Danio rerio: one gene and its partners. The protein of the gene in region 4 purifies or fractionates together with the protein of the main gene of each other region. This does not show direct contact. Links are inferred from orthologs where the notes say so. Each region holds a gene or a part of one and is shown on either strand. Other genes may lie near its edges.

The links.
Region 1: the proteins of Na(+)/H(+) exchange regulatory cofactor NHE-RF2 (region 4) and prkd1 purify together in Homo sapiens (affinity purification with mass spectrometry; 3 studies listed by BioGRID and IntAct, with this or other methods). This does not show direct contact. The link is inferred for Danio rerio from reciprocal best matches to the Homo sapiens genes NHERF2 and PRKD1.
Region 2: the proteins of Na(+)/H(+) exchange regulatory cofactor NHE-RF2 (region 4) and kctd5a purify together in Homo sapiens (affinity purification with mass spectrometry; 3 studies listed by BioGRID and IntAct, with this or other methods). This does not show direct contact. The link is inferred for Danio rerio from reciprocal best matches to the Homo sapiens genes NHERF2 and KCTD5.
Region 3: the proteins of Na(+)/H(+) exchange regulatory cofactor NHE-RF2 (region 4) and phlpp1 purify together in Homo sapiens (affinity purification with mass spectrometry; 3 studies listed by BioGRID and IntAct, with this or other methods). This does not show direct contact. The link is inferred for Danio rerio from reciprocal best matches to the Homo sapiens genes NHERF2 and PHLPP1.
Region 5: the proteins of Na(+)/H(+) exchange regulatory cofactor NHE-RF2 (region 4) and arhgef6 purify together in Homo sapiens (affinity purification with mass spectrometry; 3 studies listed by BioGRID and IntAct, with this or other methods). This does not show direct contact. The link is inferred for Danio rerio from reciprocal best matches to the Homo sapiens genes NHERF2 and ARHGEF6.

Annotation. Positions count from the first base shown.
Region 1 is NC_133192.1:30,381,370-30,387,971, forward strand, and holds the start of prkd1 (serine/threonine-protein kinase D1), read left to right. Parts: upstream 1-2,998; 5' UTR 2,999-3,179; coding exon 3,180-3,344; exon of another isoform or gene 3,345-3,422; intron 3,423-6,602.
Region 2 is NC_133178.1:44,423,468-44,429,550, forward strand, and holds part of kctd5a (BTB/POZ domain-containing protein KCTD5a), read right to left. Parts: intron 2,161-6,083; coding exon 2,052-2,160; intron 1,896-2,051; coding exon 1,804-1,895; intron 1-1,803. UniProt on the Homo sapiens protein: Its interaction with CUL3 suggests that it may act as a substrate adapter in some E3 ligase complex. Does not affect the function of Kv channel Kv2.1/KCNB1, Kv1.2/KCNA2, Kv4.2/KCND2 and Kv3.4/KCNC4.
Region 3 is NC_133177.1:279,805-285,887, reverse strand, and holds part of phlpp1 (PH domain leucine-rich repeat-containing protein phosphatase 1), read right to left. Parts: intron 5,603-6,083; coding exon 5,477-5,602; intron 3,681-5,476; coding exon 3,532-3,680; intron 2,776-3,531; coding exon 2,629-2,775; intron 2,095-2,628; coding exon 1,867-2,094; intron 1,515-1,866; coding exon 1,312-1,514; intron 1,143-1,311; coding exon 1,082-1,142; intron 946-1,081; coding exon 850-945; intron 759-849; coding exon 603-758; intron 1-602. UniProt on the Homo sapiens protein: Protein phosphatase involved in regulation of Akt and PKC signaling.
Region 4 is NC_133178.1:11,851,541-11,857,623, forward strand, and holds part of Na(+)/H(+) exchange regulatory cofactor NHE-RF2, read left to right. Parts: intron 1-4,239; coding exon 4,240-4,440; intron 4,441-6,083.
Region 5 is NC_133189.1:36,327,101-36,332,977, forward strand, and holds part of arhgef6 (rho guanine nucleotide exchange factor 6), read right to left. Parts: intron 5,163-5,877; coding exon 5,069-5,162; intron 4,921-5,068; coding exon 4,822-4,920; intron 4,735-4,821; coding exon 4,635-4,734; intron 1,967-4,634; coding exon 1,912-1,966; intron 1,821-1,911; coding exon 1,698-1,820; 3' UTR 1-1,697. UniProt on the Homo sapiens protein: Acts as a RAC1 guanine nucleotide exchange factor (GEF).

The DNA of each region.
Region 1 (6,602 bases), on a different chromosome or scaffold from region 4:
CGCAAGGCGAATGAGAGAAAAAAAAACTCCCGGAAACTTAGAAGCAAACGGAAGGTAGCGTCAGAAAGCCACGTGTGTTATTCCAGTCACAAAATCCTACATGAGGTTATAGTTTGGTTGTAGTGCTAACTTGTTTACACTCGGTGCAATAGTTTTTTCGATACGAATAAAATACGAACTGAATAAACAAAGAGCACTGGTCGCTTACTTACCAAATCTGTAGAGACAGGACAATCCACAGCAACTAGAGCCACGTCTTTATTAAGATGAGACTACAAGTTTGCAGATGAGAACACACAACGTGGCGTCTATGTTGTCTAAACACTGTGACAGTAATGAATATTAATGAAGTTGCACAATAGGGCACGCTGATTGGTTTTAACCAAGCTTTACTCATGCATTAATGCATCACACTGTAAGACGTAATAAGACACACTCTGGCACAGACGTCAAGTCTGCACGCTGGAATACAATGCTATTATGTCATGACCGTGACGCTGCTTCAAAAATTTGTTTCAAACAGGAAGTACGAATTTGCTTGAAATAACGCAAAAACAACCAATTTACACTTTTTAGTGAAATATAGGTGTCCTAATAGTGTTTTTAGCAGTGTGGGACACATATACGACTGTCAACAGCTCAAAAAATGTGTTTTGGTGTTTCGTGACCCTTTAAGCTACTAATTTGCAATTTACTAAATTTGCAATTTACTAAGCTACTAATTTACAAATTGCAATGAGGTTTTTTAAAATAAAGTGTTAAGAAAATAAAAGATTTAATAAACAAAGGATCACAGAAAAGAGTTTACTTCCATGGCAGAATAAGGTGAACACAATCTATTCAAGATTTTATAGAATGGACATTTTAACAAAGTGTAATATTGCATTTTCACAGTTACCAACACCATAACTAGTAATCATCATAATCTGTTGTTTAAAATGTAATCTACATTCAAAACATTGCACTTTGCATTTTATTACCTGGCATTAATATACAGTTTTTTTTATTATTATTACAGATGTTGACTGCTGCATGAATGTTTTACTGGATAAAGAGCAAATTTGATGAATCATTGTTTTTTTCTTTCTATTGGGGTAAATAAAAAAATCCAAAGCTATATTTATTCAGTTTTTTAGTTGTTCCGTTTCGTTTATAATTTTATAGAAATATTTAACCCATGCAGTGCAACTCAACTATTCTAACTTTGGTTTCAGAAAAGCCTGGAGATGATTTCATGATTAATTTGTGGTTGCTATAGTGTTGTTAAGGCATTCTGAGAAGTTTAGCCTGTTGCTTTGTGGATTACAGAGAATTATGGACATAGATAGCCCATGTATACTCAGATGCCACATGATGACACCATCTATGATCCATGCGATGCCACTAACAGTACATTTAAGAAGCTTAACACTTTCCAGGATGCAAAACATTATGCAACCTCTGACTGCTAAACTGACTGCATTCTAGCATCCCTATAAAAAGTGATTATGTTTTAACTCAACATTACGTGTATTTAAATATAAATGTTGCGGCACAGGGGCTCAATGGTTAGCACTGTCACCTCACAGCAAGAAGGTCGCTGGTTCAACTCCTGGCTGGCCAGTTGGCAATTTTGTGTGGAGTTTGCATGTTCTGCCTGTGTTTGCGTGTTTTAGTTTCCCCGTGTTTGGGTTTCCTCTTGGTGCTCTCGTTTCCCCCACAGTCCAAAGACATGCGGTACAGGTGAATTGAGTAAACTAAAGCCATAGTGTATGAGGATGTGTGTGTGTGTGAGAGAATGAGTGTGTAAGGGGGTTTCCCAGTACTGGGTTGCAGCTGGAAAGGCATCCGCTGCATAAAACATATGCTGGAATAGTTGACGGTTCATTCTTCTGTGTTGGCCACTGATGAAGAATGGATTAAGCCAAAGGAAAATTAATGAATATAAATTTTTGTCATCGTTAGCTTGTCTTGTGTTACGACTCAAGCTTTTTGCGAATGTAGATATTTATGAATGGTTTAAACTACAGTTGCAGATGCACAGTCAACTTGCCATCAAATGTTTACATACTGGATTACATATAAAGACCAATTTAGTGGCCCATAGAAACGGCTAACAGCATACATATATTTCTGCATAATAAAAAGAGCCCATCCTCACAAGTTGATATGATGAATGATTGTACATATGTGAATGGGGGTTACTTTTATATCAAGCAACAGAACTGCCATTTTTTATAGAAATTATCGCTGGAAACTAACCTAGCTATATATATATGTATACCGTTTTTGTTTTATGTAACAAAAATAATAATAATAATAATAAAAAATATATATATTTATATATATATATATATATATATATATATATATATATATATATATATATATATATATATATATTTTATTATTATTATTTTTTCTTTTTTGTGTATGTATGTATGTGTATGTATATGTACACATATAAATACATACATTTTTTAATGTGTGTGTGTAGATAGATAGATAGATAGATAGATAGATAGATAGATAGATAGATAGATAGATAGATAGATAGATAGATAGATAGATAGATAGATAGATAGATAGATAGATAGATTCAGGTTTAAATCACAACTCGTAACATGACATTAGCCACACCTGTTACATAAAACAAAAACGATTATTCTAAAATCTTACATTGCTGTGTGAAGAATGATGCCCCATATGGTTTTGCGGAAGTATTTTGGCGGAAGCTACGGTTACCATGGCAATTATTGTCAGGCTACCGATTCCACTTCATAAGTCCGGTAAACGGGAAAAACACCAATTTTATCTATATTTCAAAGAGGGAAGAATGAATCCACAGCACATAAACTTTCAAATTCACATCCCCGATCGCCATTGCAGCATCATCTGAGCTGTGATGATGAAGGAGCCAGGAGGCGGTGTCTGATCAGAGCCCAACATTAAACATATCTGACGTCTATATCTCCATCATCATCATCATCCTCGCCTCTCAATGTCCAAATAACTCTTTGCATTTCCGTGCTATCGCTTTTTCCTCAAATTCACGTTTTTCGCTCGTTTACCCTCTGAACGTCTTTAGGGATCTGAAGTTTGCCTCAGTTTTGCGCAACCGGTGTGTGAACTCGTGTGTGAAACAGCCCGATCCGATCGCTGTCCACCAGGCGTAATTGTGTTGACAACAGGGGATTCATATGAGCGTACCTCCGGTAATCCGACCGCCGAGCCCCCTCCCGGGGTCGCAAGGCATTTCTTTCCAAATCCAGATCGGGTTGAGCCGGGAACCCGTCCTGCTGGACTCCGGCGAGTTCAGCCTGGCGCAAGTCCGAGAGATGGCATGCTCCATCGTGGACCAGAAGGTAACACTTTCCATAATCCTCATGTTTCATTCATTGTCGTTCACGTAAAAATGCCACAGATTTCATCACCCTGAACAAGAAGTGGCGGTCCGGAGTTTGGAAATAGCCCAACTTTTAGCCCACTTGTTACTTAAGCATTTATGGGAATTTGGAATTTCGTTCCAACCTCACATGATGTTAAGTTACGACGAACTTGAATGCTTTATTAAAATATTGCTTTTCATAGGCTATATCATCCGTTTATGTCTATAAATTTATGAGCCTATTATATTTAGTAATGTATAATTTAGGATTCTGCTACAGGTTCACAACTGAGCTGTAAACTTTCAAAAGGCAGAAAATTGCATTGAAATTGTTTTTAATTACTGATAGAACATTATTTACTTCATAACCTGAATCAGCTGAAACACACTGAATGTGTAGCGTCATTAAGTGTTCTGCATTGTATTTTCCATTGACAGTGATGACGTTTTGTAGCCTACTTATTGAGCCAGTGAGGGGCTTGTAGCCTACTGGAACACAGCATCACTGCACTGCAGGCCTGTCTCTTGTGCTGAAACCTTTCAAAATATTTAGTGGATTTTGTCCTCAAGTTGTTGCTTCCATGATATTTGGAAAATCTCATTATAGTAGATGTGTATGTTACAGTGTATATCAGGGCAAGTAAGGACTTTTTTTTGCCTCACCAGTATAATGTGGCATTGAACCAAAATTTTGGTTATTAATTAAACAGAATAATGTGAGAACTGTTTAATCAAACAGATTAAATTGATTGAATATACCAAGCTAAAGCATAATAACTGCTGCTAAGTGCTTTTCTGCTTTTCTAATAAAGCAATGTCAAATTTACACTAGAAGTTCATAAATATCAGTTATGAAATTGGCATTGAAAAGATCACCCAAAAATAATGTCAAAGGTGACATTCACCCTCAATATAACATTATTGATGATTTTTAGCTGGAATAGTCTTCTTTGATTCATAACATGCAAGTCATACTGACTGACTGTTTACACAGTTCACGCTCAGGACCATTTACAATGGCTGTGGATTGAAAGTAATTATGCTCAGTTTTTTAAACAGAAGCTATGGAGTTGTGTAGATTTGCTGTATATCTTTTCACTCTTGAAGTGCTGATTGGCTTGAAATTTATCAATAACCAAATTCACATCTTGGATAGTCTAAGGATGAGAATTAATAACAGATTTTCAATTCTGCTGGAACTATCCACCAAAAAGCAATTGATTTCTGCTGAGTGGTATAATAGGTGATCTAACAGAATGTTAACTTGAAATGGAGCTTGTAGAATAAATGCTGTGAAAATATGGTTTCTATATTACTACTAGAAATATAATGTATATAAGTTTCTACTTGAAATAAAGCGTTTCCCAAATCCATCATTCCGACGAACAATCGCAAACTGCATCGCAGACTTGTATGCTTGTAATTACACCTCTAGAGCTGATGTTATAAGCATAGTTCCTGGATGTGTTCTATTCCAAGTTATCCCCCCCATGCCCTATTCCTTTCGAACGTTCCATCATTCAAAGTTGGAATCATTAAAAAAAAAGCATTAATGTCATCTCTCTTAGGTGCAGTTTAGTTTCAAATATTTTTGCAGTTTAGTTTTAGCAATCTTTACATTGACAATTGCGTTCCCTTTTTAATGCACTTTGAAAACATTGATGCCACTTTGAACGCAGCCGAGGCTCATGATGAAAGCTATAGGTGACCTATTATTTAAAAACAGAACTTAGGTTTGGTCTCTGAAGCTTGTGGAAACAAAAATATATAGCAAACGTTAATGCTTTTAATTTATAATAGGTTATTTACTAAGAAATGTATCTGTACTGTATATGACATGGGTCTGTTGGTTAGAACATTTCTGCAGTGGTTTGAATGTGTCGTTGTAAAAGCAGACTTTACTATGCATCTTACTATAATAGTTCAGCCGCAAGTTATGTTGTGGTTTGGGAAACAAACCCCTGTTCATTAAAAAGTGGCTTATATTTGTTTTTCCTCACAAAAGTAACTATAGAAGACTTGAAATATAAGAGAAGGGAGCATAGGTAAATATAGTTTTACCTATCTTCAAAATTGGTCCTCTGACAGGACTGGGTGATTAATCGAAAAGCAATCAAATCCACATTCAGAACCTATAATCGTTCTAATTTTTCCAGGTCAATTGTTTACATTACTTTTCCTAGCTCTTTTTTTTGACTGTTCTTTTTAGGCAATGTGTGTTTAGATTTCAGTTGTTCAATGTTGATGTTCAATAAACAATCAGAGATAGTAGATAGTGTGCGTTTCTTTCAACTATTTTAAAATCAAGTATGCACCCTTCATTTTAATATAATATGTGAGCATATTTACAGTACATAACTTGTCAGTGAACTATAAGGGCAAAAAATAAAAAAACAAAATAATCATTCATTATTGTAATTGAGTTAAATTTGAGATTTAGATTTTAGGCCAAATCGCCTAGCTAGGCATGGGCAGGTATAAGATTCTAATGGTATGATAACCTTGGATATAATATCACGGTTTTACAGTATCTCAATATTGTAATTACTGCTCTAAAACTATTTATATTTTAAATGTCTGGGTAAAAAAAACAACTTTTTCCCCTTTGTACACAATATATTTTAATTTGGGAAACATTTAAAATATTTTGGAACAGTAAACATATCAGGCTAAATGAATTATTGACTTCTGCTGTCTTCATCTTTTGGGATCTTTTCTGCTGAGATACTGCTGTCCTAAAAAACTAAAAAAAAATTTAAAATCTTATTAATACCTTAGGAATGGTATAGCAGAAAATTTTGACGGTTTTAAAACCTTTACTTTTCGAAAACCGCGGTATACCTTGAACATTAACGATATCCCCTGCCTTTAACCTATTTAAGTATGAACATTGAAAGCGTTGGGTGTAGTTGTGTTAAATAAGCATTCTGATAAAAAATGAATATGGCGTATAGTTGTTGTTTTTTCCTTTAAAGCATTTGGAATACCATGAAGGTGAAAGTCAAAGCTGAAAACATGTGAACTCACAAGCACTTAAGAGTAATGATAAAGTTCAAGCCTTCTCTGTAGATTCGCGTTCTCAGAAATGGCATAACAGTGACAACACAGAAGTCAAATTGTCACCACCCCTTTTAAATGCACAGAAGATGGCATCTGTAAAGTTATTAATATCTTTTTTTTGCAAAATGTGTTTTCTGTTTCGTAAGCACCTGTTTCTGACACATCTTCAGAATGT
Region 2 (6,083 bases), about 33 Mb from region 4:
TGTCTGTACTGCACTTCAATAATGCCACTAAAAAAGACAGTCCACATGCCTCATTTCAATTTCTGATTAGTTTGATTATGACTTTATTTGGATTAAGGTAATAAAAAATTGCTGTTTACATGGTCGACTCTTAATCAGAGTATTGTCTTAATCTTAACCTTTTTGAGATGGACTGTTTTGGATTACTGACTTGAAGCTATGAATGCGAGTACAGAAAAACTGTATAAAATATTCTTTTTTATGAAATACACTAGTGTAATGCTACACTCTACTAATCTGGTTTAATTTCACTTTAAGAAGATTTCTGTTGCTTCAACTGGTGATCTGGGACCTTCAACCTTTGGCAAGGCAGGTAAAAATCTTTACCACTGGCCCAACCAGGCCACTAGAAGAAATCCTTAGCATCGATCCCTGGTAATAATGTTTCATTATTTGGATGAGCAAATTCTAAATGCAGGCAGGAATTATGCATCAACAGCATGATGAAGAAGTCTCAAGCAAAAAGTTAAGACATTTGAGACCATTCAGAATCAAGTTTTAGACTCATAAAGGGCTAGACTCAAAAGGAATTTCAAATTAGACCCATCAAAAAATATAATAATTTAATACAATACTAAAATTAATAATATAAAATCAAATATTTTACATATTTTTAAGCAAAACATCTGAAAGACTGTAAAAACAAGCAAGCTATACTTTTTATCTTTACACTGTTTTTCCAATAAACTTTTTTTAAAGTTAAAAATCAAAATGAACAAATGTTTTAAAAGTTTAAAAACTCTAATAAACTAAATCTATGCACAACAGTTTGTCCAGAGATGGATAGATTGTATGGGTGTTGGCCAGATTGGATAGCAATTCAGGAACAAAGGAAAGTTAAGACCTACAACACAATATTTCAGTAAATTAAGGATTTTAAAATTTGGATTTTATGAAACCACAGAAACCCTGTCAAGCTTAAAAGTAAAATTTTTGGCATTTTATATAATCAATATTTTATGTTAGAAATGCAAATATTTATTATGCATTATTATTATTATATTTTTTATTACAACTGATTTTAGATTTCTACATTCCTACATCAAACATTTGCCCAAAGTTAAAAAAAATAATCACATATGAAGGAGTACAAACGTGAGTATATACTTTAAAAAGTATTTTATATGTGGTCAATATTACATGATTGAATATATTATGATATATTGTTATCAGTATATGAGATGACTTTTATTGTGATATAAGATTTTTCACATCGCCCAGCAGAACATACAATTACTAAACACAAATTACAAAGGCATTACTTGAACATCTACCTAGGTGCAAACTCCAAACCAAAACGTCGTCTCTTGCAAATGTGCTTCATTCAAAACAAAGTCCAAGATAAAAAGGCAAACCCAAATAGTAACATGTAAATTAGTGAATTGTAAATTTGCTGAATTGCCAAGCCCTACTACTTAGCATCTTTTTACTGTTTATATATAGACGTGTGACCTCAACAGCGTGAAAAGAGGAAGTAACAGGAGATTTTCACTTAAAAGAAGAGCAGAGCATCATATTATTTCTCATTTGTTTGTTTAACATTATGTCAGCTTCTATAGTTATTTATTTATTTTTAATTTTTTGGGAGAAAAATCATAATACTGTTATAAATGATATTAAACTTGTACAATTTATTTTTGGGCTAAAGACCCTAAAACTGTTTTTGGATTAACAGTGTTAAAGATCACCTCAAAAGGATAAAATAAGTTAGAAAATATGGTTGAAAAAGAGTACATTTAAATAAATAAAATAAAATCATCTTACCTGAGCGGTCTTACAATCCCTCTCCCTGATTTTGTCTTTGACCAGTTTAATCAGTGAAGTGATATTGTAGAATTCAGCCTCTTCCAGCACACCTGGGGAACATTTCACTGATTAAATAATAAACCATAAACCGCATATCAGACTACAAAAACAGCTAACAAACAAGTTAAAACTGAATTTAGCCGTCAGTTAAACAACAGAAAAAATCTTAAAGCATGTCTGAACGTATCCTAAAGTTCCTGTCATACCTTCCTCTGCCAGGCCTCTGTTCAGCACCAGCTTCCCATGTCTCAAATAGTTGAGCACTGGACCAAAATAAGTGGGATCTCGGTCTATCAAATAAGCACCCGTTTCATCCTAGAAGAGAAAACAGCATTTTTAGAAACACAGTATTGACCTCTGAAGAATTTTAGCATGACAAACATCATTTATACAACTGAGGACTATGAAAGTGGAGCTTGCAGTAGGTTTGTATTTTATAAATATAACAAATACTATACGCAATAAAGCACATTCAATTATTTTAACCACGTTATTACATTGTAATATACACGCTATTACAATACAAAATACTGTTTCATATCAGTTTCTCCACAATAATGTACATCTATATAATACAGCTGTAAATAAAATACCACTACTATTATTACAGTGGGTATCGTTGAGCTATTAACAGTATTATCAATTTTATCGATACCATTTATCGGTTCGGTACTTTAACAGTTCTCTTATTGGTACTTTTTGTAGTGTTCTTTTACCGAAAATACAAAAAACTATTTGAACAGAATTAACAACACTTTACACAATCACGTTTTTATTGTAAAATAAAACAAAACCAATAATTGTAAAACAAATATATATTTTTTTTTTCTGTAAAAAAATGAAGAGAAAAAAAAACTTTCTGGAGAAAAATCAACATGTTTGCCTTTTCTGACAGAAGTCGGATCTTTCTTGGTTTATTGTGTTTCCAATCCCTGCAGTTGAAAATGCCCTCTTTGAGTTGTAAAATGCAGTTAAATGAGAATGTTTATGATTTTTCATTAACGCATTCACAAAAATGAGTTAACAGTGTTTTGAGAGTTACCCGTGTTTTAATGAAGTTTTGAAGCATCTTGCAATGTAAAAAATTTTTTCTTAATAAGCATAGTTCATTATTAGGCTATATTTGCTATAAGCATAGTTTATTATTAGGCTATATTTATGAATAATAGGCTATATTTGTAAATACAGCTGATGTAAAAACATTTTTAATGTATATACAAAATACTGTTGTCATTGTAAACAAATGTGTGTGTTTATTTAACTATTAATATCATACTAATTTAGGTGATCGACTGCTGGCATAATAATGTGGATGATGTAACACGTTAGCGTTATTAGCTAGGCAGTCAAAAACTTTTCATTAGCCGTTCTGCAGTTAATGCCTTTTTGAAAGATACTTTGTTGCAATGAGCATTGTCGCTGTCCACTCGGGATGCTACTGTAAGTAATGTTTATTCAGCAATAATTCTCCAGTATCGATAGCAGAACCGTTAACATCAAAGCTTATCGATACTTCTGTCTTTTATAATGTAGCACTGATACCTATAAAGTACAGAGTTTTGGTACCCATTCCTAACTACTAATAATATAAACTTTATTTTAAATAATTATGCCACAAATCATCTTAAATGTTTCACTGTTAACATTGAATAAAACTAAATTTGATAAAGTAAAACATTTCAAAGGGTTCCTTAAGTTAAACTAAATAAATTTCATGATCAATTAAAGGGACAGATCACAAAAAAATATATTTATAGTTTGAGTTTGTCTTCTGTTAAACAAAAAAGAAGATATCTTGAAGAATGTTGAAAACCTGCAATCACTGACATCCATAGTATCTGTATGTATATGTATATATATATATATATATATATATATATATATATATATATATATATATATATATATATATATATATATATATATATATATATATATATATATATATATACAGCTGAAGTCAGAATTATTAGCCCTCCTGAATTATAAGTGACCCTTCTCTCCCCAATTTCTGTTTAATGGAAGTAAGATTTGTTCAACTCATTTTTAAACATAACACATTTAATAACTCATTTCTAATAAATGATTTATTTTATCTTTGCTATGATGAAAGTAAATAGTATTTTACTACATATTATTAAGATATTCCGCTTAAAATTACATTTTAAGGCTTAACTAGGTTAATAAGGAAAGTCATTGTAGAACTGTAGTTTTTTTTATATTGCTTAAGCGGATTAATAGTGATCTTAAAATGGTCAAAAAATAAATGTAAACCTTTTTTTATTCTACCCAAGACAAAACAAATTATACTTTCTCCAGAAGAAACAAATATTATAGAAAATGCGGCAAAAGAAAATCCTGAATCTGTTAAACATCATTTGGGAAAATGATTATTAAAAAGAAAAAATAACAGGAGGGCAAATAATTTTTACTTCAACTGTACATTTGTTTAGAATAATTGTGATTACAATCATGACCAAAATAATCGTTATTATGATTTTCCCATAATCGAGCAGCCCTACAGTCTTAACTAATGTTTTAAAATATTTGACCTTGTTTGGCATATTTCACCCAAAAACTAAGAATCACCTTTGATTTGTTCTAAACCAGTTTGCGAGTCTTCTGTTGCACGCAAAATAAGTTAAAGAAAGCTGAAAATCTGTAACCATTCCCATCCTTAACAAATACTATGAAAGTGAATAATTACAGGTTTCCAACATTCTTTAAAATATCTTTATTATTCTGAAACAAGTCAAAGGTGAGTAAATCAATCCATGAATCTGATTATTGTCCAATCCAGTCATATAAATGTGCTGGCAAATCACAACCACATGACTTTTTACAGTCAGCAGATTCCAGATTGACCCATACTGTTTGTTCTGTAATCTGACAAAATTAATCATGTGAAATGACATCCTCTAAACTACTTCTGTTTTACAAAATGTTTACAAATCACAAACTATTTTCTATTTGCATTCTGCTACATTATCACTGCCGTAGTCTGAGATTGAATAGAAAACAATGCGAGTAAACATTTATTATGCAGTGACAATTTTTAGAAAATTAAATATATATTTTGTTATTTTTAACCTATAGGATGAATGCAAACCTTCTGCAGCTCCAAATCTGGCTTCAATGCCTCTGGATCTTTGTTCGAAGGAATTTTCAAGTAATGGCAAACAGTGGTTGATGGATACAGAAGCGTGTCTGTTAAGAAAAGGTGTGGCTGACATTTAACATACATGCAGCAGAGCCCATAGGGACGCTGATCCATCTCCAGCACAACATCATTACCACAGATCGATACCGAGGTCAGAAAAGTCAGCTTTATTCCACAGCGTTCACGCTCGCATTAAAGCGTTCAGGAGAGCGACCTTTACAGTTAAGTCACGCAAATTCAACCTTGTGATAGGGAAATTAATTTGGAAGAAATATTTTTGGACAGAAGAAATTCTTTGTCTATTTAGCGGCTTTCAAATGTCGTTGCCCTAATAAATGATGCATAGTGACCTTTAAAAGTTTAAAGGCATGCAGGCAACCCCATTTCTTCTTGTGACACATGGAAGAAACTGAAGGATTTATTAAAAACACTGATGCTGGAGGATAATAAATAATAATAATAATAATAATAATAATAATAATAATAATAATAATAAGAAGAAGAAGAAGAAGAAGAAGAAGAAGAAAATATATATAAATATAAATATAAATATATATTTATATATATATATATATATATATATATATATATATATATATATATATATATATATATATATATATATATATATATATATATATATATAACCAGTTTATTTGTGTGCTAATTGTTTTGCAGATCAATTATTATTTTTTAAAAAGATTAAGCCAATTATTGCAATTGGAAAAAATAAAAAAAGCATTCATAAGAATGACATTTACATCACAAAGAATGAAAAATAAATGTTATGAGATGAATGTAAAATATTCAGTGCTGTCAAATTATTAATCGCATACAAGATAACAGTTCGTATTTACATAATATATGCATGTGTAGTGTGTATATTTGTGTATGTATAAATACACACATGCTGTACAAAGTACAAATTAAATATATTTAAAAAAATTATACATAGTTGAAGTCAGAATTATTAGCCCCCTTTTGAATTTTTTTTTCTTTTTTAAATATTTCCTAACAGATGTTTAACAGAGCAAGGGAATTTTCACAGTACGTCTGATAATTTTTTTTTTTTCTGGAG
Region 3 (6,083 bases), on a different chromosome or scaffold from region 4:
TACGTGTATGTGTGCTTATATATATGCATGTGTGTTTATATATGTATGTGTGTGTGTTTATATGTGTGTGTGTTTATATACGTGTGTGTTTATATATGTGCGTCTTTATAAACGTGTGTTTATATATGTGTGTGTGTGTTTATATACGTGTGTGTGTGTGTGTATGTTCATATACGTGTGTTTATATATATGTGTGTGTGTTTATATACGTGTGTGTGTGTGTGTATGTTCATATACGTGTGTTTATATATATGTGTGTGTGTTTATATATGTGTGTGTGTATGTATGTGTGTGTATGTTTATATATGTGTGTGTATGTTTATATATGTGCGTGTGTTTATATACGTGTGTGTGTGTTTATGTATATATTTGTGCGTGTGTGTTTATATATTTGTGCGTGTTTATATACGTGTGTGTGTGTTTATATATATATATGCGTGTGTTTATATATGTGTGTGTGTGTGTGTGTGTTTATATATGTGCGTGTTTATATACGTGTGTGTGTTTATATACGTGTGTGTGTGTTTATTTATATATATGTGTGTGTGTGTGTTTATATGTGTGTGTTTATATATGTGCCAGTGTGTGTGTGTCTGCCTGACCTATCAGTCTTGAGGAACAGGTTGCAGGGCAGCTCCTCCAGCTGGTTGTGTTGTAGATCCAGCACCTCCACCAGGGGGCGCTCCACCCGCTCCGACAGACGCTTCAGCTGATTGTGACCCGCCAGAATCTTCCTCAAACTCGAGCTGCACAATAACCTGCGGATACACACACACACACACGGGTCAAAATGTCACACACACAGGTCAACACTTCACACACACACACTCAGGCACTTCACACACTCACCATGGAGGAAGTTCCGTCATCTGATTGTGACTGATGTCCAGAACCTCCAGCTTCCTGCTGTCACTCAACCAGTCTGGAAGAGCCTTCATACAGTTCCTGGAGGAGAGAGAGAGAGAGAGAGAGAGAGGGGGGGGGGGGTTATTGGATGAGTGTATTATTGTTTTTTTATTTCACCAGCAGCCAGTAATGCGCTCAGGTGTGTGTTTGCTGTGATGTGTGTGAGGAAACACACCTGGAGATGTCGATGTACGTCAGGTTTGAGGCAGCAGGACTGACCAGAATCTCCTGCAACTCTAAGGAGGGCAACACACAGCATGAGGATCAGACGTGTGTGTGTGTGTATATGCATCTGAGTGAAAGTGTGCATATGCATGAGTGTGTGTGAGTGTATGTGTACTGTTGTTTGATGCGTGCAGAGCTTTGAGCATATATGTGTGTGTGTGTGTGTGTGTGTGTGTGTACCGTTGTTGGATGCGTGCAGAGCTTTGAGCGCAGCGCCGCACACGCGCAGCTGAGAGATGCGGTTCCTCTGGCAGTGCAGCACCTCCAGCCGGGGGAACACGGAGGCGTCCAGCTCCTGCAGACAGTTATCCCGCAGGTCCAGCTGAGTGACCCCGCGCAAGAACTCCGGCTCGTCCCGCAGCACACTGGAGATCTGATTCAGACTGAACACACACACACACACACACAGACACACACACACACACAAGCACAAGCATGCATAATCACTGCTAGAGCCTCGATCACATTATGATGCTGTGTGTGTGTGTGTGTGTGTGTGTGTGTGTGTGTGTGTGTGTGTGTGTGTGTGTGTGTGTGTGAGAACGATGACAAGATCTCTAATCCAGGGCTTCTTGTAGTTGTCAGAATAGCCATGTCCACTAAAGGAGCTCGAGCCTTCTCATATATGGCTCCTAAACTGTGGAATAGCCTTCCACAAACACACTTCATTGAACATGTACACATCATGTGATGATGATGATGATGGTGTGTGTGTGTGTGTGTGTGTGTGCTCACCGTAGGTCCACGTGTCTGACGGTGAGCAGTCTGAAGCTCTGCAGGTTGAGCTCTGTCAGTTTGTTTCCCGCCATGCAGAGCCTCTCGACCGCGGGCAGCCGCTCCAGCACCGGCGGAACCTGCTGGAACTCATTAAAGGACAGACCCAGAAACACCAGCCGGTGCAGAGAGCCCAGCTCCAGCGGCAGCGAACACAGCAGATTACCGTCCAGCACCAGCGTCTGCAGGCTACACACACACATACATCTGCATCAGCATCATCATCATCATCATCATCACACACACACACACACACACACACACACACACACACACACACACACACACACACACTCACACACACATCCGCATCATCATCACACACACACACACACAGCATCAGTTACAGCACAGCAGAGGGAGATGCAGGTTACGCAGTGTCCAGCAGAGGGCAGCACAGCACAGTCTCGTCAGCATTATTGGCTCTCCTGCTACTTTTAAATTCTTATATTTTCCCCAATTTGTGTTTAATGGAGGGAAATATTCAGCAGATAGTGTCAGCAGAATAATGGAGTGTCTGAGTAGACTGTTCCGCTTCACACACTGACACATCATCAGCTCATTTGAGAGAAACCCTGTCCTGTGTGCTTCAGCCTGCTGCTGTGTTTAATGGTTCTGCGTGAGTGCTGTACGCTCACGACACGGGTGTACATGTGCGCACGACACCACGCAGAAGTCATGATTAAGAGTGTATGGTTGTGTTAGTGAACGTGTGTGTGAGACCTGCTGATGCGGGCGATATCGGGGCTGATGGAGCGCAGGCGGTTGCAGCTCAGGTTGACTTCGCTCAGGCTGCTGATGGAGCAGAGCGCCTGCGGGAAACTGCACAGCTGATTATTGGAGAGATTCAGACTGCGCAGACGACTGAACCTGCGGAAACACACAGCAGAGACACACTTCAATAACAACACAACACACTCCACTATTAACACAACACACTCCACTATTAATACAACACACTCCGCTTATTATATGAATATTAAATGAGAAAACAGTGGGCGTGGCTTGTTTTTTCTACTGTGAGCTGATTGGCTGTGGTAAAGTGGGCGTTTCATTCAGAAGGATGTGGAGAAGGGTTTGGGGAGAGTTATTCCAGCATTGTCACACCATTTCTGCTTGTTGTCATAGCGATGTCCAAACTGACAGCTGGAGGGGCGTGGCTGTGTTAGTTGCATTATGACATCATTTTCCTTTGGCTTAGTCCCTTTACTCATCAGGGGTCGCCACAGCAGAATGAACCGCCAACTACTGCAGCATATATTTTACACAGCGGATGCCCTTTCAGCTGCAACCCAGTACTGGGAAACACCCATACACACTCATTCACACACACACTCATACACTACGGCCAGTGTAGTTGATCAGTTCCCCTATAGCGCATGTGTGTGGACTGAAACCGGAGCACCCGGAGGAAACCCACACCAACACAGGGAGAACATGCAAACTCCACACAGAAACACACAATGACCAAGCCGGGACTCAAACCAGCAACCTGATTGCTGTGAGGTGACAGTGCTGAGTCGCCTAGTCAGATCATTGTCATCAGAAATCTACACAGTGGACCCTTAATCAGAGTGTTGTCATGCTACAGTGGGAGTGTTGGTGTCCTCGTGACCCCTGACTGACCTCTGGAGCTGCAGCAGCGTCTGGTCGGCAGGAAGGAAGTTGTGTTTGAGGTTGAGGTGCGTCAGATCCTGACTGAACAGCAGGTTTGGAGGAAGCTTCTCCAGACTACAGCAGGACAGATCCACTGAGCTGATCCTCTGAGACACCATCTGATGGACACACACACACACACACACACACACACACACACACACACACACACACACACATTACTACACATATATGAACATCACTACACATACACGGACGCACACACACACACAGTAAAACAATAATAATAACACTATTGAAATGCAGTGTTGTTTTTAGTAGTTGTGCGCTGGATGACACCTCTGGCAGTATCTCTTGAGTCACAGGTGTATGATCAGGTGATCTGCAGTCAGCCAATCAGCAGGTGTGTATGCAGTAATCCCTCCCGCAGTCTCTGCTGCTAATCTGAGGCTCCCGGCGCGCACTGCCCTGCCCTACTTGTGTTGCTTCAGGATGCTGCCTTCATAGTGAAGCGTGCTAAAGTAGGACTCACAACTAGGGCTTCCACACACACACACACGCACGCACACATACACACGCACGCGCACACACACACACACATCTCCCTGATGGAGCGATGGGTGTCCTTGTCAGGACAAACCGCGACCAATGACAGACCTTTTCACAGCCGACCAATCAGGAGCCACATGCTAATGAGCAGGCGCACACACACAATGCTGAGAGTGTTAGCTATTACTGCACAGAATATAATTAAATCTGCTAACTTATGCAGAATGATTTCAGGAGGACAGAAAACTTAAAAATAATCACATAATAATTTATTACTGATGTTTTACATTAAATTTAAATTGTAAAATGCAAATCCAATTACATCTATATGTTTGGTACACATAGCAAGTCGCACACAGCATGCAATCTGACCAATCAGAGCAGAGTAATGCTATTTGACCAATCAGAGCAGAGTAATGCAATCTGACCAATCAGAGCAGAGTAATGCTATTTGACCAATCAGAGCAGAGTAATGCAATCTGACCAATCAGAGCAGAGTAATGCAATCTGACCAATCAGAGCAGAGTAATACTATTTGACCAATCAGAGCAGAGGAATGGTATTTGACCAATCAGAGCAGAGTAATGCAATCTGACCAATCAGAGCAGAGTAATGCTATCTGACCAATCAGAGCAGAGTAATGCAATCTGACCAATCAGAGTAGTGCAATCTGACCAATCAGAGCAGAGTAAAGCTATCTGACCAATCAGAGCAGAGTAATGCAATCTGACCAATCAGAGCAGAGTAATGCAATCTGACCAATCAGAGCAGAGTAATGCTATTTGACCAATCAGAGCAGAGGAATGGTATTTGACCAATCAGAGCAGAGTAATGCAATCTGACCAATCAGAGCAGAGTAATGCTATCTGACCAATCAGAGCAGAGGAATGGTATTTGACCAATCAGAGCAGAGTAATGCAATCTGACCAATCAGAGCAGAGTAATGCTATCTGACCAATCAGAGCAGAGGAATGGTATTTGACCAATCAGAGCAGAGTAATGCAATCTGACCAATCAGAGCAGAGTAATGCTATCTGACCAATCAGAGCAGAGGAATGGTATTTGACCAATCAGAGCAGAGTAATGCAATCTGACCAATCAGAGCAGAGTAATGCAATCTGACCAATCAGAGCAGAGTAATGCTATCTGACCAATCAGAGCAGAGTAATGAAATCTGACCAATCAGAGCAGAGTAATGCAATCTGACCAATGAAAACAAAGCAGTGCAATAGTGACATCAGCACTGTCCTCATGATTCACCTCATGTTCTGTAATACCAGTGTCATACAGCATGACATTATACAAGTTTGTAAACATGTGCGCACACACACACACACACAGACACACACACACACACACAGACACACACAGACACACACACACACACACACACACACACACTGACCTTCGCAGCCTGCCGGTGCCAGCGCAGGTGTTCAGTGAAGCTGTCGAAGCTGATATAGTAGGTCTGACTCTGAGGACCCGCCGAGCTGAAGGCCAGACAGTGGCTGTGTTTCTTCACCTCCTCCACCTGCACACACACACACACACACAAACACACACACATCATCATCATCAGACAGGATCACCAGCTCACTGCTGCTGCAGATTATCCTACACTACAGTAAGCAGTGGAGTCTCGCAGGACCATTAATGAACACAAGGATGATGAATATGAACACAGCACCGGACACAAGAGCTGCAGTACACCTACACATGAGCGAGCTGTACATCTACTGCACATACTGAACTCCACACTTACCCTGACACAGACTACTCATGTACACAAGACAGAAGAGTATTGTGCAGGATATTGTCCACAAGAGCTGCTGAAGGCTGAAGTAAACACTACTGAGTGCCTGTGAGCTGTATTAGAGCCGTGTGTTTCCTGCAGTGTCAAGCAGCTCTGACTGTGACGCTCACCTCTGTCTGTGCAGCTCTATGTGGAAAACAGCAAACACACTAGCCGGACACACTACTGACTTCCAGTTGATCATCAAGTGTCACAAGGT
Region 4 (6,083 bases):
CAATTCGAAGCCTTCTGATTGGGTATCACGTCATTCAGTGCATCTGTGCATTGTTTTCTGGAGAGCTTATGACCTACTAACTACGTTCTGCCTTATGAAAGTGGTGCAACCGAAGAAAGTACAAACTGTGCAATAAACTAGCTAAAACTTTTGTACATTTTAGATGCCATAAGGTACACATTTTAGGTACTAATTACACTTATAGGGCACTATTTTGACGGTCCATGGACAGAGCGCAAAACGCAGGGCGCAAATGCTTTCAGGGCGTGTCTGGACGCGTTTTTGCTAATTTAAGGACGGGAAATCTGCCTTGCGCCGCGGCGCATGGTCTAAAAGGGTTGAGTTTATTTTCTTAATGAGTTATAGGTGTGTTTTGAAAATAAACCAATTAGAGTCTCATCTTCCATTCCCTTTAAGAGTCAGCTGCGTCGCGCCAAGAGCGCATTCGCTATTTACAGGACGCAAAGTAAGTCTAAGTGGAAAAACTGAGCATTTCACTAGCTAACAGTTAACAGTTTTTTAACAGAAAACTGTTGAACAGAGCATCTACTGCGTGAGAATGAGAGATAATCGATCTACTTTCACTTTCGCTCTTGGATAGGGAAACCTTTACGCACAGACATCAATTAATCTATAAATAAATACTTTTGTTTGTTAAGCGCAAATATTCATTTCAAAACTATTTCTAAATTCAGTTCTAATTTCCAGCAAACGAATAAATGAATAAAAATAGCAAAATGTGCTCAAAAACCTGAGTTATATCCTAAAACACATGCTGTGCCCCATATGGTCTAAAACGTGACAGGTGGGCAAATCTAAGCTTGTTTTTAATAAAACAAATATAAATATGGATATATTAAATAATACTGCTAATAATAATAACATTATACAAAAGAAAATTGTTATGAATGAACTGAAAAAGCCTCCCGAGATGAAGACGACATAAAAGCAGTGATTTTTCATATTTTTTTAGGCTAAAAAATTATGTTTTGTAATATTTTAATCCTTTATATTTATATTCTATATCTATTCTTATTATATACTATATATATCCTTAATATTTAAATTTTTTCATATGTAAAGATATTTGCCTATTGCTCTCTTGTGTGTATTAAGCAGTGTGTAAGCGAGGCGCAACTCTGCGCCGGAGTTTAGACCGGGTTAGTTTTGGTCTAATGTAAAATCTATTATAGTTTCTCAAAATAGCAACGCGCCAGCGGTCCACCTCAGAACGCCTTCCTTTTTAGACCAGAACACCTATGGGCGCAAAAATGAGCGCTAATGCATTTGCTATTTAAACAGCATAGCGCAACGCCTCAAAACGACTCTTGCGCCAAGCTGAAACTACCAAAAGACTACTGCGCCACACTGCGCCGGGTGTATGATAGGGCCCTTAAAGAGGACCTATTGTGCCGCTTTTTACGAAATGCAAAATAAGTCTCTGATGTCCCTAGAGTGTGTACATGAAGTTTCAGCTCAATATACCTCCTAAAACAGGGGTCAATTTACCCAAGGGCAGCTGGAGGCCGAGTTTGCTTAAGGCTGGGCCGCATTAAGTTTTCCACAAGAAATTAATTATATTATTAATTATCAATTTCTAATTTGTTTATTTTTTCATCTTACTTTATTATGAAAAATAAAGAGATTTGTGAAGATTGGAATTTTTCAACACAAAACAAGATGAACACAACAAAAAAAAAATTTAAATTAATAAGAAAATAATTTAATCAGTAATAACTAGTAATAATAATAATGATAATAATATATTTACTGTTATCTGCTGTGCCGTAGTTGTCATTTGTTTTGACCAATATATATAATGTTCATTGTGTGAGGTAATGAAAATACAATGCAAGTAGAGTGATGCAAATGACCCACAAATAACAGTGCGATGCTATAACTGGTCTGGTTACCGGGGACTCTTACTGCCGATGGACAGGTGTCGATATGTGACTGCAGACGATTTTGTTAGACTGCAATTGGTTCCTTACTTCTCTTTTATTATTGTATGCATCACTTTGATTTATTTTGTCTGAAAGAGAAAGACCTCACATCAACTCTCTAAGTGCCATTTCAGTTCACTTCCAAGTGAAAACTCTGTCTAATCTTCAAGAAGTTAGCTCCTACGTCATGTTCTGTGACTGACTTAACTCGTGTTGCTTCTGTATCATGCAATCCAGATCCAGGGACGCTGTTCCAGGTTCTCCAGATCTCTTATGATCAGCTTCATTATCAGATATACTCGTGGTTAACTCTTTGACTGACCGTGTTAGCTTTGATTCAAATAGTTACGTTTTGGTGACTGTCACTTTAAATTGAAATGAATTGAGATTCCCAGCCAGGGCCTTGCACAGGGGTGTGGCTCGGTGGCTAGAGCCTCTGCCACTCTGCCCTCATTGGCTGAGGTGCCCCTCTCAGGTGACCAACACAAGCAAGTGAATGTATCTTTCAAACGTGCAATAACTGCAATGAAAAGTAATGAAACACTGTTTACTCATTTATATGAATGTGTTAATAAAAAATCAAAAACATTATATCGTTTAACTGCATTTTGCAAATCAAAGAGGCCATTTTTAACTGCAGGGAACACAATAAATCAAGGTAGATCCCGAATTCTGCCAGAAAAGACAAACATGTTTAGTCATTTTCCTTTAAATCATTGTGCTATTTTTTTTTACAGGAAAAAATGTATTTATGTTTTACAGTTATTGGTTTCATTTTATTTTACTTTTAAAAATGTAATAATAAATTAAGTGTTGTTAATTCTGTTCAATTAGTTTTTTTGTGTTTTTTTTTTTTACTGCAAAAAGTACCGATTAGAGAACTGTTAAAGTACCAAACCGATAAGTGCTATCAAAAAAAGTAGTAATACGTATAAAACCTTAACGATACCCATCCCTACTTCAATGATTCGATGGATCATGTTCACATCTGAAGTAAACCATAATGCACTTTTCAAACAGACGCGGGTATAGTTTGTGGTAGGGATGTAACGGTATCAGAATTTCACGGTACGGTAATACCTCGGTATGAATGTCACGGTATGGTATTTATTGAATCATTTACAGGAAAAAACAAAACTTATGAAAATACTCCAAAAAAGTGCCAAAAGTGTCAATGACATACAAATTAGTCATCTATCTGTAAGCTTTGAAACAGGAACTTCAATTTTAATAACAAAAAAATATTAAACCATGTAAAAAAATTAAGTTTCAATTTAGTAGTGTTGAAAACTCATCACATTCAACATTTAATCACTCACTCACTTAGATAGAGATGGGTTTAAAGGAAAATTATCATATAAATATAATCTGGTAAAAGCTGGTATCTCTGGGTATTTACAATGTCCCCTGCAACAGAAAAAACCCTCTCATTTGGGACTGAGGTTTCTGGGACAGAAACATGACTTGGCCCAGGTTGACAGCAGTGGGTAACGTTGTGCATTGTCTTTCCCCCACTTGAGAGGACAAACCATGAGTGAGATAGAGGTCTCATGTCTGCATCAATCTGAACAGTGTGCTGTGTTTCTGCAGTCCCCATGATATTAGTCGTATTCCCCAACTTACAGGCACGTGCACACACATTGCTTAACCTGTGCAGTGCACATGCCCTTTTTAGTCTTGGATAGAAAGTTCCCTTCCAAAATGATCAAAAGTGCCCCCGCGACGCGACATACCCTCCGTCCCCGCTTTACAGTACGCGCGCGACAACACAGCTGATAAGAACTCGCGCGACAACACGGCTATTCAGTACGCGCACGACAACACAGCTGATAAGAACTCGCGCGACAACACCACTATTCAGTACGCGCGCGGCGACAACACCCGCTTTAGAGTTTTTCAGCTCTTTTTGATCCCCGCTTCTAGCAGCACACTCCATTTCCGCATTACTGGATCTGTAGCGACAACAGACCGCAAGGGATGATGGGAATTGTAGGTTCCGGTACCTCCCATTCGCTTCATTCGCCTGAGCAAATTTTTTCAGAAGACCTAAAGTTTTACCGAGTCATGCGACTACGGTAATATCGAAAAAAATTAATATTGCGGTATGACGGTATTTACAATACCGTTACATCCCTAGTTTGTGGGTGTGCTCCTGAGTTCAGAAGACAGCGTTCACATTAACCAAACAAACTGAACTCTGATGTCAAACAATCCTGGGTGCTCATCAAATATTGCAGCGTGAAAGCATTCTAAATGTATGAAGATATCATAAATGTCTGTATTTCTCCTTTGACAGGATGTTCAGCCCTCATCAGAATCCTCGACGCGGGATCCATCTGAGCTTGTCCCGAGGCTCTGTTTCCTGGTTCGCTCTGACACGGGTTACGGCTTCAATCTGCACAGCGAGAAGTCTAAACCGGGTCAGTACATTCGGGCGCTGGACCCTGGATCGCCCGCTGATCGCGCCGGACTCAAACCACAGGACAGACTCATAGAGGTCAGACCACAACAACACACATATTCTCATACAACCATATCTGAAAATCTATCTTTAAACTAGAGAAAAAAAGTTTCCTTTTCTTCTCCATATGCACCAGACACTTTCTTATAAACACTCCAGGCCCTATCATACACCAGGCGCAATGCGGCGCAAGGCGCGATGCAAATGTTATTTGCTAGTTTCAGCTTGACGCAAGTGTCATTTTGACGTTTTGCGCCACACTGTTTAAATAGCAAATGCATTTGCGCTCATATATGCGCCCATAGACGATAACAATTGCCCATGACAATTTGCTTTTGTATAATGTTAATATTATTATCAGTATTATTTATTAATGCATATTTATATTTGTTTTATTAAAAACAAGCTTAGATTTGCCCACATGTCAGGTTTTAGACTATTTGGGGGACAGCATGTGTTTTGGAAATAAATCAGTTGTTTGAACACACTTCATTATTATTGTTTATTTATTCGTTTGCTGGAAATTAGAACTGAATTTAGAAATAGTTTGACAAATCTTTGCTCTTAACAAACAAATTAACTATGTAGGCTAATGGATGTCTGTGCGTACACCATATTTCCTTATCCACGAGGAAAGAGAAAGTGCAAGTTTAGGCCTATAGGAGGAAGCTCATTCCTTATCAAATGTGATATGGTGTGACACAACTGACTCCTAAAGGGAATAAGAGATGAGACTCTGATTGGTTTATTGTCAAAACACACCTATAACTCATTAAGAGAATAAGCCCAACTCCGTTAGACCATGCGCCACAGTGTGTATTTTTCCATCCTTAAAATAGCAAAAGCAGATTCGTACACGGCCTTAATGCTTTTGGCCCTGCGCTTCAGACTTTGCACCTAGATCGTTAAAATAGAGCCCTCCATGTTTCTGGAAGACAAAGTTCTGCACTGAAGCTGAAGCTCTGCACAAGACTTTTGGCCAGCGGAGAAATTAAAATGGTCGTGCCCAACTGAGTCTGGTTCTCTCAAGGTTTTTTTTCTTCACTCCCATCAGGTGAAGGTTTTTTCCCCTCTCCGCTGTCGCCACTGGCTCGCATGGTTCAGGATTGGTAGAGCTACGCATCGATGAATTTGCTCTACAGTGTTTGAACTCTCAGTAATGATTAAATCACACTGAACTGAGCTAAACTGAACTGAACTTAAACACTAAAACACTGAACTACACTGTTCCAGTTACTATGACCATTTATGTGAAGCTGCTTCGACACAATCTACATTGTAAAAGTTCTATACAAATAAAGCTGAATTGAATTGAACAAAGCAATTCTGAGTGTGCTTCACACAGGTGACCAGCAGTTGTGAAACCACATCTATCTATCTATAAATTCACAACCTGACAAAAGTCTTGTCATCGATTCCAGTTGTAAGAGCAACAAATAATAACTTCTAGTTGACCATTTGGAAAAGTGGCAGAAAGTAGACTTTTCTGATGAATCATCTCTTGAGCTGCATCTTAATCATCACAAATACTGCAGAAGACCTACTGGAACCCACATGGACCCAAGATTCTCATAGAAATCAAAAGTTTAGAGAAGGAAAAATCATGGTTTAGGGTTACATTCACTTTGGGGGCATGTGAGAGATCTGCAGAGTGGATGGCAACATCAACAGCCTGAAGT
Region 5 (5,877 bases), on a different chromosome or scaffold from region 4:
CTGTAATGTTTTAGAATGAAGTGACTGTCTGGGAAACAAGTTGTGAATATGTTGAATCTAAAGCTGAAGTACTGTTATGGGGTTTTATTTCCAAACCTACAGTGTTAATTTTGCAAAGAAAATATAAGGGCGAAAAATGTTTGCTGCCTATGCCTGGAAACAAACAGAAACTTGACAGCTCTGCTGCGCCAGTAATGTCCGTCCGTCCGTTCATTCATTTTCTTTTCAGCTTAGTACCTTTAATAATCTGGGGTCGCCACAGCAGAATCAACCGCCAAAGCGCGCATCAGATAGATGCTACGCTATCCCATGATGTACCGCGACAGATTTCATGAATGGGAGTGAAGCGATGCAACTGGCACTGGTAGGACACGTGATGATGACAAAATGGTGGATGTGCAGTAGTATGTCCGAGTTCAATTCATACTAATGACATTCATACTGTATAGGACGTACTTTTCTAACAGCTGAGTTGTACGTTTAAATTCAAATGCGGCACCTACTGAGTAGTTGACATTTTCAGACGCAATGATACAATTATTTGGTTTAGGCAATCCATCACTTTTGAGTTGGTTGGTAATTCACCTTTCTTTATCATAAATTTATATTAAAAGTTTTTGCAAATCTAAAATTTGAAATCCAAAATAATAAAATAAAATTTAGATTAAAAATAGATTAAAAATAAAAATAGATTCTGCATGCCAGGCTATTAGATCAACATGTCACTTTGTAAAGCAACATTTTACAAATGTAAAAACAGTGCTGTAGTCTGTCAGTGCATGTTTGGTTCATCCATACAGACTAAACACGTAATATGGATGTGAGTGGAGTCATTGTTTTTAAATAGTTTACGGTTGATAACAACGTTAAACTTGCACATTGAATTGCAAAACAAAAAAAAAAAGAAAGAATTGGGCTAAACTTTTTTTTAACTAAAACTAAATGTTTAGTCAAAAGCGGTTTCATGAAAACACACCGTGACAGGATAAAGCAATCGCAGTTCAAGATGGCAAGTAGGGCATCTCATATCTATATCAGGACCAAATCGCACACCTAAATCTTGTTCACTTGTGACCTAAAAGCTCTCACGCTACCGTTTTCACATTATAAAAGCAGAAACAGGACAATACTTATGGATACGGTGAAGTCTACGGTCATCTATTTACTTGTGCAATAGCGGCTTGAGTTGGAATGCTGTTCATGTCTTCAGATTCCTCTTGTCCATGACCAGTAACAGTCATAAAGTGAGGCAGATATTTGTTCAGTTCAAAAACAAGAAATCCCATCATCTTTTTTTATGTGATGTTTCTTGTTGGAGTGCTTGAGTGAACAAGAAAGAAAGTTGAAGGGTTGAGGACAGGACTCCACAAGAAGAAAAATCACCTAATACTTCCTAAATAAGCAGTTCACTTGGTCTTCGAGAACAGCTGCTGTTTTGTTCTGAAAACGCCACTTCACAGGAGCGTGAAAACAAACCGCACAGTGATATTCTTCCATATAGCCAGAATAAAAAGTCACAGATTTGATATTCTCATCGCATCTTGTCCTTAAAAAAAACCTTTGATGAGAAATGGCTGAAAACCCCCAACATGGAGACTTTTCAAAAGCAACGTTCAGTGTAATGTGATTGTTGCAAGGACACACAGTGACACAAAAAACGTACATGCAAATGGCGAGGGGAAAAAGGCGAGTGTTCTTTAGTGACCTCCTTCATCCCAGGAACAGTCGTTCTTTTGCTTGGCCAACTTTCTGACAACACGCTCCAGCTCCTTACGAGACTTCTGTTCCTCCTCCAGACACTGCTTCATCCATTTATTCTCCTACAAAATGTACAGCACCAGATGATCATGCTACTATCCTACTATCCTGGTTATAGTTTTGGCTGACAAAAATAATAATTCAAAATTTTACCTTTTTTAATTCATGGACTTCATCTTTCAAGGCATAAACGGCATCAACTAGACTTCTGCAAAACAGTACAATGCATTTTTTAGGTATGAACAACCAAGCAAATTAAACCAAAGGATAGTATATAATTTATCCTGTTTTTCTTTCGTTAATATTATTAAATACACATCAAAACCAAATGAAATATGTACAAAATCTATTTGCACAACAATGATAATGAAATAGTATTTAATATAACCCTTTAACTGTCAATAAGTATGTTTACATGGACACCAATAATACAGTATTAATACGATTAAGACAATACTCTGATTAAGAGTCAACCATGTAAACAGCCATTTTTTATTAATTTTATCTGATTAAGGTCATAATCAAAATAATCACAAATCAAACTAAAACATTTGAGTATGCCGATTTTAGAGGCATTATTGAAGTGCAATACAGAAATGTAAACATCTTAATCAAACTATAACTGTCATGCAGGATTTACGCCGCATTTTGCGACAGGATATATTATATACATATGGCTGTTTGACACTATTCTTTCATTAAAACAACACTCTTCCTCCATTTCATAGTTGCACCCAATATCTTGTTTGTTACAGGGGCATGCGTAAAATGCTCTTGAATGAACAAGTACTAAACAGCAGTTTAAGTTAACAAACTAAAAATGAAACTCTGGAAGAAATGTGGATAGTGTGGTGATGCAATGATGTTAATCGAATTATGTGTTATGACACGTAAAACAGGATCATGAAAGAAACATTTAAAAAGCAACTGTATTATTAAAAAGTTGTTTTTTTTTTAAAAAAGTTGTCTTATTCAGATTAAGGCAAATATTTATATTACTGATGTCCATGTAAATGTAGTCATTGTGACATCATTAGCAGTTTTCCATATGTTATTTTTAATACAGAACTCAGTCTTTGCTTAGTGGTGTCAGAAAACTTCAAAGAGACAAATGTTTTTTCTTAGACTGATTAAATTGTGGGTAAATAGGATAATTTAATACAATAATGAATATATAATTAAAATACTAATTATAACAAAAAAATGAACACTAAATAGATTTTATTTAAGCATAGTTAAACAAAAATGATTTAATAATGTAGCAATAAACTAGCAAAAACATATGCATATATTGTTTCTGGTTTAGCTTTTGGCTAATTGAAGATGTAATAAACACAGGGATCTTTTTTAAAGACAAAAGTTTAAATAATTGATCAAGTGACAAAATGGTATAAAAATGAGCCAGTTGTTGCTAATTAAAATATTTATATTTTTTTGTCAAATCATCCTATCAGGGCATCCTCAGTGAAAGCAAACATAAAAGTCTGTTATGAATAGAAATTTTCCTTGATCCTGCACTATTTCTAGGAAAATATCAACAATTTTGTTATAATTTTCATTAAAAATTGTATTAACAAGTAACAAATCATGTCACTTACAGTGTAAATATGATGTCAATTATCTGATACCTTTAATAGTTTACAAAACAATAATAAAATGTTTCATAAATCTGGCACTGAAAATTGATAATGTAGTAAAAATACTACAAAAATCAATGCTCATTCCTGCACATGTGAATTCTGATTAGATATAATCCATAGATATACTGTATAAACTAGATATCGAATACGGACCCTGAGCATGCATCAATACCGCCATTACATTGTACAGTGCTCCCAGGATTAAAGTCAATCAACAACACATAGTCAAGACTAAAATTAATCTGAAGATGCTGGTCTTTTGCACTGTGTAACTTTTGTGGGTGTAGTACAGAACAAACAAAGAAAACAAAACATGAAGACACTACATTTCATAGGTAAGATTTTGTTTTTTAAGTTTTTGTTTATGAACTTTTGTGCTCAACAAGTAACGTTATTGATGATAATACAGTCACTTACTACACTGATCATAAGGCAAAGTAGCACCAACTCGCACTAAAGGCTAGGCTTATGATAGTTTTGTTTAATAAAATCAGCAAACAATGCAAATGAAATATGATAACAAGATGCTGATGCCAGAAACTTTTAATTAAACTTTTATTATTGTCGGCTAAGTGAAGTAACAGCTAGTTTTGAAGAAACTTATATGGGTGCCTCATAACATAACAGTGCCTGCGCCTCAATGTGCAAACTGTCCACTGTAAATGATTGAATATTACAAATGTTATATACCATTTAGATCAGAAAGTCTAATAATGTCTTTATCAGAAAGAAATTTGGTCTGGATATGCACATTGGAACTCATGGATATAACGTTCATAATTTGGAATCATTCACAAATGAATCGCTCCCTCTGTTAGAATTAGAAGTGAAAGCGGGAGAGTGGGTGTGTTTCAGGAAATAAATTGGATCAAATTTAACAGGGAGGGAGGATAATACATTTTCATGCACACAAACATACACTCTTTGTTGGCAATGCCTGTGCGATCACTTATTCTTCGATGTAGAAAAGTGATGTCAAATTATAAATTTCATAATTTAAAAAAACATTTGCATACTGACCACTGGAAAAAACTCCTGATCATAGATATAAGTATAAATGTTTACATATCTATGCCTCCAGATGGCCAGTCCTTCGTTACACCTTGGTCCCACATTAATTTCAAAGGAGCGCTACACTGTACTAAAACGGCGGCTCTATTGATGCACTCCTTCCAATAGACAACAGCAGGGTAAGCAACATCTTATGTAAGTATATATGGAAATAGTTGGACATACTTCTCCTCAATGGTGGTCTGGCCATTGCTCTTGATATCCTCCACAATAATCTTCTCTTCTTCTGGAAGCAGGACCTGCGGGACGCACTCTTTACGAACAGCTGCGTGAGCAAATCAGTTTTTTTTTTAGCAAATTAATGCTATTGAATATTCAGTTACTTATACAACGCATATGACAATTACAGTACAGAACATAAAACCTGTGGTGGACTGGTGGAGACTGGCTCCTGTGCAGTAGGCCTCAATCACTTTGAGTATCTGGGCGTCCTCTTCTAGAGCTGCCGTACCTGCGAGACAAACAAACAATACATCATTGCTATTTGTTTGCAGATGCTAAAAGACAAGTTGGCAATGCCGCTTGTTGTTTTGATTAGGAAAAAAATCAAAAATTAATTCAAATGAAGCAGATTTGTCTTTTTTATTGACTGAACCTACTTTTTCTAAGCAGGAACTCGTCGTCTGATGGCTTTCTCTCGGTTTTTCTCTTGGGGAGGAACTTCTTAATGGGTCTGGGGCTTTTACTAGAGTCCTGAGGAAACAGTGTGGTGTTAATGAAGTAACGGCGTCTGCTAAGCATTGAATAAAAAAAACCACAACACTGCAGCGAGCAGACTTTCATTCACGCTCAAATCCCGAGCGAGGATGCTAAGAAATGAAGAGCAATAAATGCTGGCTTACATAAGTTATGACACCATTTAGGATAATTTAGCAGCAAATTATCAGGGTCTCATGAATGAAAACAATTTGCAGCAAAGAGACCCTTGTCTGTTTGGGAATTAATTATTACAGACTGAGTCATTTGTTGACTTTGTTACACCCACGTTTTTCTTTCAGTGCTAACACCACCTAATGTGGAATCTTCCGGATTGAAAACTTCATTAGATCAAGTTATTTTAACCAACTGCACTATACTGTTTTACAGATTAATTTAGGGTTTAACATTTTACATCTGCTATGGCTGAAGTCAGCTTTAATGCATTTTGAGTTAACCACCTTAGTGACATTTGATTTTCTTGATGATCATTTACCGTCACTGACAACAAATCAGTTTAGTCATAGTTTTAGCAAAACTTCATTTACGGCTAAAGGGATAGTTCATCCCAAAATAAAATTTACTCATCATTTACTCACCCTCAAGTGGTTCCACAAATGTTTGAGTATCTTTTTTATGCTGAACACAACAGAAGATTTTCTGAAGAAAGCTGGAAACCTGGAAACATTGACTTCCATAGTATAAAAAATAC